Linked DNA regions of Coturnix japonica. The protein of the gene in region 1 purifies or fractionates together with the protein of each later gene. This does not show direct contact. Links are inferred from orthologs where the notes say so. Each region holds a gene or a part of one and is shown on either strand. Other genes may lie near its edges.

What was found. The genes of interacting proteins can lie anywhere in the genome.
Region 2: the proteins of UBE3A (region 1) and PSMA7 purify together in Homo sapiens (affinity purification with mass spectrometry, with the first as the bait; 3 studies listed by BioGRID). This does not show direct contact. The link is inferred for Coturnix japonica from reciprocal best matches to the Homo sapiens genes UBE3A and PSMA7.

What each region holds. Positions count from the first base shown.
Region 1 is NC_029516.1:118,887,406-118,891,154, forward strand, and holds the start of UBE3A (ubiquitin-protein ligase E3A), read left to right. Parts: upstream 1-1,188; 5' UTR 1,189-1,224; coding exon 1,225-1,394; intron 1,395-3,749. UniProt on the Homo sapiens protein: E3 ubiquitin-protein ligase which accepts ubiquitin from an E2 ubiquitin-conjugating enzyme in the form of a thioester and transfers it to its substrates.
Region 2 is NC_029535.1:6,913,700-6,917,448, reverse strand, and holds the start of PSMA7 (proteasome subunit alpha type-7), read left to right. Parts: upstream 1-1,495; 5' UTR 1,496-1,652; coding exon 1,653-1,748; intron 1,749-3,115; coding exon 3,116-3,242; intron 3,243-3,749. Other genes in the region: SS18L1 (calcium-responsive transactivator), read right to left, coding at 1,003-1,071.

The sequences.
Region 1 (3,749 bases):
TACCAGTGCTACCCTAGAGCCTTTTAGACATGGAATGCTTTAAATTATTTTCCTCATAGCTGAGTGCAGAGCTGGATTTGCATAAGCTGAATCTTTCTAATCCATAGATGCTAGACTGTTCTTAAAATGAGAGCTAAAGTCCCATGTTATCCGCAGTCACTATGTGCGTGACCATGGTCACTGTTTTAGGGCAGTGTCAAATAGAATTCTTTCACTGAGTTCATTCTGCCATGGAAACCAAACTTACCAAAACTCCAGAAACCTTTCCAGTTGAAAACAGGATTGTGTGATGTTCCCTTTACTGTACTTGGCCTCTTTCTTTGGAGTTGTACAAGGAGAGTATGTGATGATAAGCAGTTGAGTCCCTTCTCTGTAGGTTAGATAAATGTCTCAATGGTCAGTCTTCTAATATCTATATTTTTGTGTGTGAAGTAGTTCCTTGTTGATCAAATTTGCTACTAGAATGCAAGCAGTGGCTCAGAAGGAGGTGATTAGAATCAGCGTCTCAGAAAATACTCTTCTAGTGAGTTGCAGTTGGTAGGGATGTGAAATACTGTTTAAATGTCACACTTTACACATTTAGGCTTTTAAAGTACAACATGGAGTTTAATCTGGTTAACTACATTTGCTTGGAATGTCAGGAGGTTTTTGACAGAGGGAAAACAACACAAAATACACTAAATAATGCATTTTGCTTAATGTTTGATACAGTTTTGTTTTCTTCTGAATATAAGACAGACTGAAGGGTTCCTGTGAGTATGTTTATTGTTTCACTTCTTTCCATTAAAGACTGAATTGATCTTTTCTTGGCCTCGCAGCCAGTACAGAGTATTATTAGTATTTAGGTCTCCTTACTTAATAACTTAAAGTCTGGAGAGCTACTGTTCAATATATCTAGGAGACCCTTATGTTCTCAGGTTCATCTATCTTGAGGAAGTGCTGTGGCTCTTTCAGCACACAATTCCTGAAGACGCATCAGATTCAGTATGTGTAGTGAAGTGGGTGCCCCACACTAAGGTCACAGGCACCCAGCTATTGGGGTTCACTGCCTGAGAGGCACATCATGCTGAAAGGATCAGGGTTGGAAACATGAGCTCCGTGTGTGTTTGCAGGCACACGTTAGCTGTGATGGCTTTGGCTGGAGTGGACAGAAGGTATTATAACATCACTAGAACCAAGGGGTGGTGCTCAGTTCTGGCTCCGGGTGGAACTTTGGGCATTTTGATGTACAGACATGCCCTGTGGGCAGTGCTTTCACTGGAAACCTCTCTTCAAGCATTGCCATTATTACACCTAATTATCCAAAAGAAGGAAAACAACAGGCGAAATTTAAAAGATACTTTCAGAAACCAGCATTCAGATTCACAAAGATGGCTGTCCATAACTACACTTCGGTATGTGAGATGTTTTTGACTGCTTTGGATCTGAAGGTGATCTTATATTTCAAAAGCGTAGTATAATTACTTGGCCTATTAAGTCTCAATTTTCCTCTGTTGAAAACTGTTTGCTTTATTTAGCATTTCTCTGTATTTAGCTTAAGATATCTGAGAAATGCAAAGTAGATGTGTTGTGTTGAAACTTTTGAAGCAGCACATTCAGTTCCTTGTTTTATATGTATTTAGATATCCAGCAGAAGGAACTAGAAAGTGACCTTTATAAGGAGTCTCTGAGGGAACTGTGGCTGTTTAGCTTGAAGAAGAGGCTGAGGGGAGACTCTTTACAGCTGCCTGAGCAGGCTGCAGCAAGGAGGAGGGTGTCAATCTCTTTTTGCAGGGACAAGTGCTAGGATGCAAGGAAACTTATTTGGGTTGTATCCAGTTTATACTGGATATTGGGAAGAAATACTTGGTCAAACATTGGAACAGGCTGCCCAGAGAGATGGTGGAGGCCTCCTTCCTTAGAGGTATTCATGAGACCTGTTGATGTGGCTTATGGACTTATATTGAAGGCCTTTCCCGGTCTAAATTATCCTGTGCTTCAAAATGTTATTTTACCGACATCTCCAGGGAGGTAGAGGTTCAGCAGTACGAGTTTCTTGTGCTACCCTGCAGATTTGGCAGTGTTTCAATTACAAATGATAAGTACTTATCTGGCTTTTTATTAGATAAAAAACAGTTAGAAAAGCCTATAGAGATTCTTTTATTTTTTTTAAGTACGGCATAAGTAAGTCAGTGAATATTAATTTTTAAAATGGAAAATGTGCTTGTGGAATTATTGGGCTTTGGGGAAGTGGAAGTTATGTATATTACAGTAGGCTCTTGCCCTCACCAAAGTATAGTGTCTTGCTTAAGAAGGTTGTACAAGGCCTACTGTGTGGGAAGCTATCCTCAAAGCAGCCTGTAAAATGTGTACAACTGTGCATGTGCAAGTGAGTTTTGAAATCAGATAGGCAACAACGGTATGAGTCTTTACAAACATGCGTGTAACTGAACTGCTTACATAAAAAACAATAATTGATATGAGAAAATATGTAGTGGTTCTGCAGTAGCTTTTTTTTAGTTTTCATTAATGCCATTTCTGTGCTTTTTATCCTCCATCATGATGGATATAGAGTTTCTTCTACGTCAGCTGTTAGAGACAACTCTAATCTTAGTGCTGTGCCTTAGTATTTCAGATATTACCTGATTAAAACATAGTGTTTGATGTAATAAAATACTGTTAATATAATCAGCGTTTATATACTGAAATAGTTAAAGTGTTACATGAGCTATAAAGGTGTGCATGCTTCTTTAGCAGCTTACCCAGCTTGAAAATGTAAGACTTATCTTGCTGGGAATTGGTCATCTTTTGACAGTGTATTTAGCATGAGTAACAATTCTGGCTGCTCTGGGTGAAAACGTATGCCCACATTTAGAGAAGCCTAATGAGAAATAATCCTTATAACGTTCATACGTTTTTACTCAGGTCAGAAAAAACATTGCTGCAAAGAGCTTGTGACCTATGTGTCGACTGCAGTGGAGAAATAAAATGAAAGAAAAATGTGATGTAGAAACTGGAAAGGCTGTAACTCTTATCTTCAGATCAGTATATAGCTATTCTGTTCCCTTGTACAGTAATGGAATTGATGGTGTTGATGGTGCTGCTCTGCTTTTTTATCATCTTCCAACTCTGCCATTGGGCGCCAGGGAGACATTTTATTCTGTACTTGGTCAGGTAGGCATTTGAAGTAATGATTTTCTTCCCTTTTGCTCTTAGAGATCTCATGATTATAAGGAAGGAATAGAGGTGTTACTTTTAAATAACATACACCTACCTCAGTAGTTACTTTAAGAACTTGAGGACACTTCCCCTTCCGAAGCCACTGCATTGAAACTAGTACTTGATCAGCCCATATTAATGGCTAGGCACAGCAAGTGCTGAGTAGTACAAGCAGGTCTGAGGCTTCAGTTCTAATGTACTTGTTCTATGGAGAATCTGCATACATCAATTTCTGGAAAAAGCAACTTTCATTGTGACAGTTTCTGGTTGATGTCTTGCTTCTTATGTTCTAACCTTTAGACATGTAGTGTATCATTAAATTTGAATTCAAGACCTATATATTAGACACCTCCAAAATGTTAAAGATTTTGTTTCTATTTGATACCTTGCCTTCATATCTAACTTTCTTAAAAGAACAGGATTTTTTGTTTGTTTGTTTTGAAAATACAGTGAAATATGGTGTTCTTGGTGCTGCATGTAGCTCTTACTGTCCTAATCAGCAGTAGCTTTCAGGTGTTTTATTTACCAATTGCATGTTTCTCTAAACATGT
Region 2 (3,749 bases), on another chromosome or scaffold:
CACTGCCAGCAGCCACAGACACCGACTGCCAGCCCCGAAGTCCCACAGCAACAAACGCAGTCACACTCCCCGTGCTCACACGCAGCTCCATCCCTGCTCTGTACCATCCTCCAGCTGTTCTCCCTTGAAGTCATTTATTGGCACCTGAGAATGAGCGGTTTGGCTGTAACACCTCTTGCCGATCCGCTCGTTGCTGGGTTAAACATCAACCCCGCCTCGCTGCCCATCATCACCCGCACCTCGCTGCCACCGCACGGACCGCACGGACAAAACGGCTCCGTGGTGGGGAAGGAGATGACGGGCAGCACAAATGACAGATAGCGCTCAGAGTGAAACATGCACGGACTTTATTGAGTCTCCAGCCGCTTCGTGATACAGTTCCCTTCTGGGAGGGATGGGATGGGGTGAAGGTTCGGCAGGTGCACGCAGCGCCTGTGCCAGCCAACGGGATGGGAAACGAGCACTTCCCAACCGGGAGCCCTGCGGTACCGGAGCTCAGCGCAGAGCAGATCTTCACCACCTTTGTCATTATACACCAATACACACATCACCAGCAGCGGTAACAGCAGGCGAAAAACACCGCTGAGCGCTGCTCCCTCCGGCATCCAAACACAAAACCCTTCCCAATGCCATATCGGATTTTATTTCACCGTCCCCAAACACCGTCAGTAATCACACATTCAACACGCTATTGCGATTTTCCAACGCGTTATTGTGGCTCTTTTTTCCCACCGGCAGCACCCGGCTCATTCCATCCCGTTCCCTCCGGCTCCGCAGCTCCGCTCATCTCCGCTTTGTTCCACCTCCTCCTTCCCCCACCTCTCTCTGTCTCTCTCTCGCCGTCCATCTCCGCATTCCCGGCCATGCACGACTTTCCCTCTCTGCCTCAATCCGCCTCGTTCCATCATCGGCTGCGGGATCGCGGACGGAATCACGTCCAGCATCGCGTCCACCCCGCGGTACAAAGCATGCCGATATGCCGATATGCCGATATGCCGTTACCTTCTGGATAGTTTGCTGGGTCACCTCCCCTTTGCCTCTCGGCCGAGCAGAAGCAAAGGCAACCGACATGGTGGGCTTTATTTTTTTTTACGTGTCTTTAATGTACGGGTCCCGTGCTCTAATAATATTGTTATTATCTCCTGCTATTGCCGGCCCACGATTCTCCGCAGTGCTGGGGCAGGGGAGGTGCCGCACATGGTACGATCTGAGCCCGGCGCACGGCAACGGGCAGAATAACCCGGACCCGAACACAACCCCCCGCACACGGGGCCGGTCCCGGCGGGTCGGAGCGGGTGGAACCGAGGGATGATTATCGGGATATGAGCAGAACCGGCCGCCCCTTGGCCCGCAGCTCTCCCCGCTGCCCGCACATGGTCCGGCCCTGCCGCCCGGTTTCCTGTCGCAGCCGAGCGCCGTCTCCCTCCCTCCGCCGGCCGCCGCCAGCTGCGCCAACTGCGTAACAACCGCCGCCATCTACTCTTAGCGCAGCTTACGCTCGTTGCGCAACGCCCGCTCCTGGCGTAAGGAGCGGCGGATGGAGCTCGGCGGCTGCAGCGTACGGAGTTGGCGTAGGGTGCGCAATCGGCGTAGTGCGGAAGCGGGCGGGGGATGAGTGTGCTGTTTTGAGGGAGGCGGCGCGGCCGGCAGCCATGAGCTACGACCGGGCCATCACCGTGTTCTCTCCGGACGGGCACCTGTTCCAGGTGGAGTACGCACAGGAGGCGGTGAAGAAGGGATCGACTGCGGTGAGTGAAGGGGAGAACGGAGGCGAGGGGATCCCGAGGGGCTGGGGCGGGAGGGAGAGGACGTGAGGGGAAGGAAGGGCCTGAGCACGGAGCGGTGTGGGGAGAGGAGCTGCTGCTGGTCGGTGGGGCTGAGTGTATGGAGCGAGCACAGAGAGATCGGGATGGAGGGATGGATAGAGATGGATAGAGATGGATAGAGATGGAGGGATCCCCGTGTCCATGTGGCGGCTGCCCGGGCCCGAGCCTTGAGGCCAATGCAGCAGCTCTCGCTCCGGCTGTACAGGCTGGGGGAAGAGCTGCTGAGAGGAACCTGGGCGTCCTGGTGGATGATAGATTGACCATGAGCAGCAGTGCGCCCTTGTAGCCAAAAAAGCCAATGGCATAATGGGGTGCATTAAAAAGAGCGTGTCCAGCAGGTCAAAGGAGGTGATCCCCCCCCCTCTACTCTGCCCTGGTGAGGCCTCATCTGGAATATTGTGTCCAGTTCTGGGCTTCCCAGTACAAAGAAGACAGGGATCTCTTGGAAAGAGTCCAGCGGAGGGCCACTAAGATGGTGAAGGGTCTGGAGCATCTTCCCTATGAGGAGAGACTTAGGGAACAGGGTCTGTTTAGCCTTGAGAAAAGAAGGCTGAGAGGGGACTTGATCCAGGTTTATAAATACCTGAGGTGTGGGAGCCATAGTGGTGAGTCTGGTCTCTTTTCAGTAGTGCGTGGGGACAGGACTAGGGGTAATGGGATGAAAGTACAGCATAGGAAGTTCCGCACGAATGTGCGAAAGAACTTTCCAGTGAGGGTGACGGAGCACTGGAACAGGCTGCACAGGGAGGTGGTGGAGTCTCCTTCTCTGGAGATACTTAAGACCCGCCTGGACGCCGACCTGTGTGACATGGTGTAGGGAGCCTGCTTTGGCAGGGGGGTTGGACTCAGTGATCTCTAGAGCTCCCTTCCAACCCCTACAATTCTGTGACTCTGTGATTCTATTTGGGCCCATATCGCTGTGAGCCGCTGGGCTGAGCCGGCCCGGTACCGCCGGGTGTTGTGGTACCGATGAACCTGCACGGCACAGCAGCCCCGGCACTGCAGTATCACATACAGTAAGGAAACAACCCTGTGTTTGGTGTGGCAGCTTTAAAGTGGCTGCAGAGAAGTGCTGGTGTTGGAGAACATGGTTGGGAGGAGGGATGGGAATGTCTGCGAGGAGTCACACAGATTTCAGCTGGTGAAAACAGGTGATGAAACTGAACTCGGGATCTGAATGTATTTGTTACGTCAGTCCTCACCCGGGTTGTGGCAATAGGAAACAAAGTACTTCAGGTTGAGGTTGATGATGTTTGGGGTTTCTTTCCTTTCCTTTGAACGTGCTGCAGGTTGGGGTCAGAGGGAAGGACATCGTTGTGCTCGGCGTGGAGAAGAAATCTGTGGCAAAGCTTCAGGATGAGAGAACTGTGCGGAAGATCTGCGCCCTGGATGACAACGTCTGCATGGCTTTTGCAGGTACGGGATCCCTTCAGAGCTTGGGGGTTGGTACGGTGGTTAGTTTGCCTTTGGGTGAGGGGATGGATTCAGAGGGTGTGTGTAACTGAGCGAGGACTGTGGGGAAGGAGCATGTTTCCAGTTACTTCCACTTTTACAGATAGGTGTCGATATGTCCATAAGGGAGAAGCAGTGATTGAATGAGGATGAAGTATTGGTTGGAGTTCAGAAGGTCCACTGAGTTTAATGTGAAGACTGGGAAGGAACGTGATTGATGCAGATATAGAAATGTAGCATTTAAAAATAGATGTGAGCTCATATACTAGATATATACAGCAGATATCTCCTGTCTGTAAGCACTGCAGGCTTTGTATCAGAATTAATAATGCTTTAAGTGGAGATGTGATGTGAGCAGGCAGAAATGCTGATGTTGGGGATGTAGTTTGCCTTTGCTTCCCCAGCTCAGGGTTGTGGTGTGTGCAGGTGGATTCACAAGCTTGAGGAAGAGAAGAGCTCTGTAATGGAAAC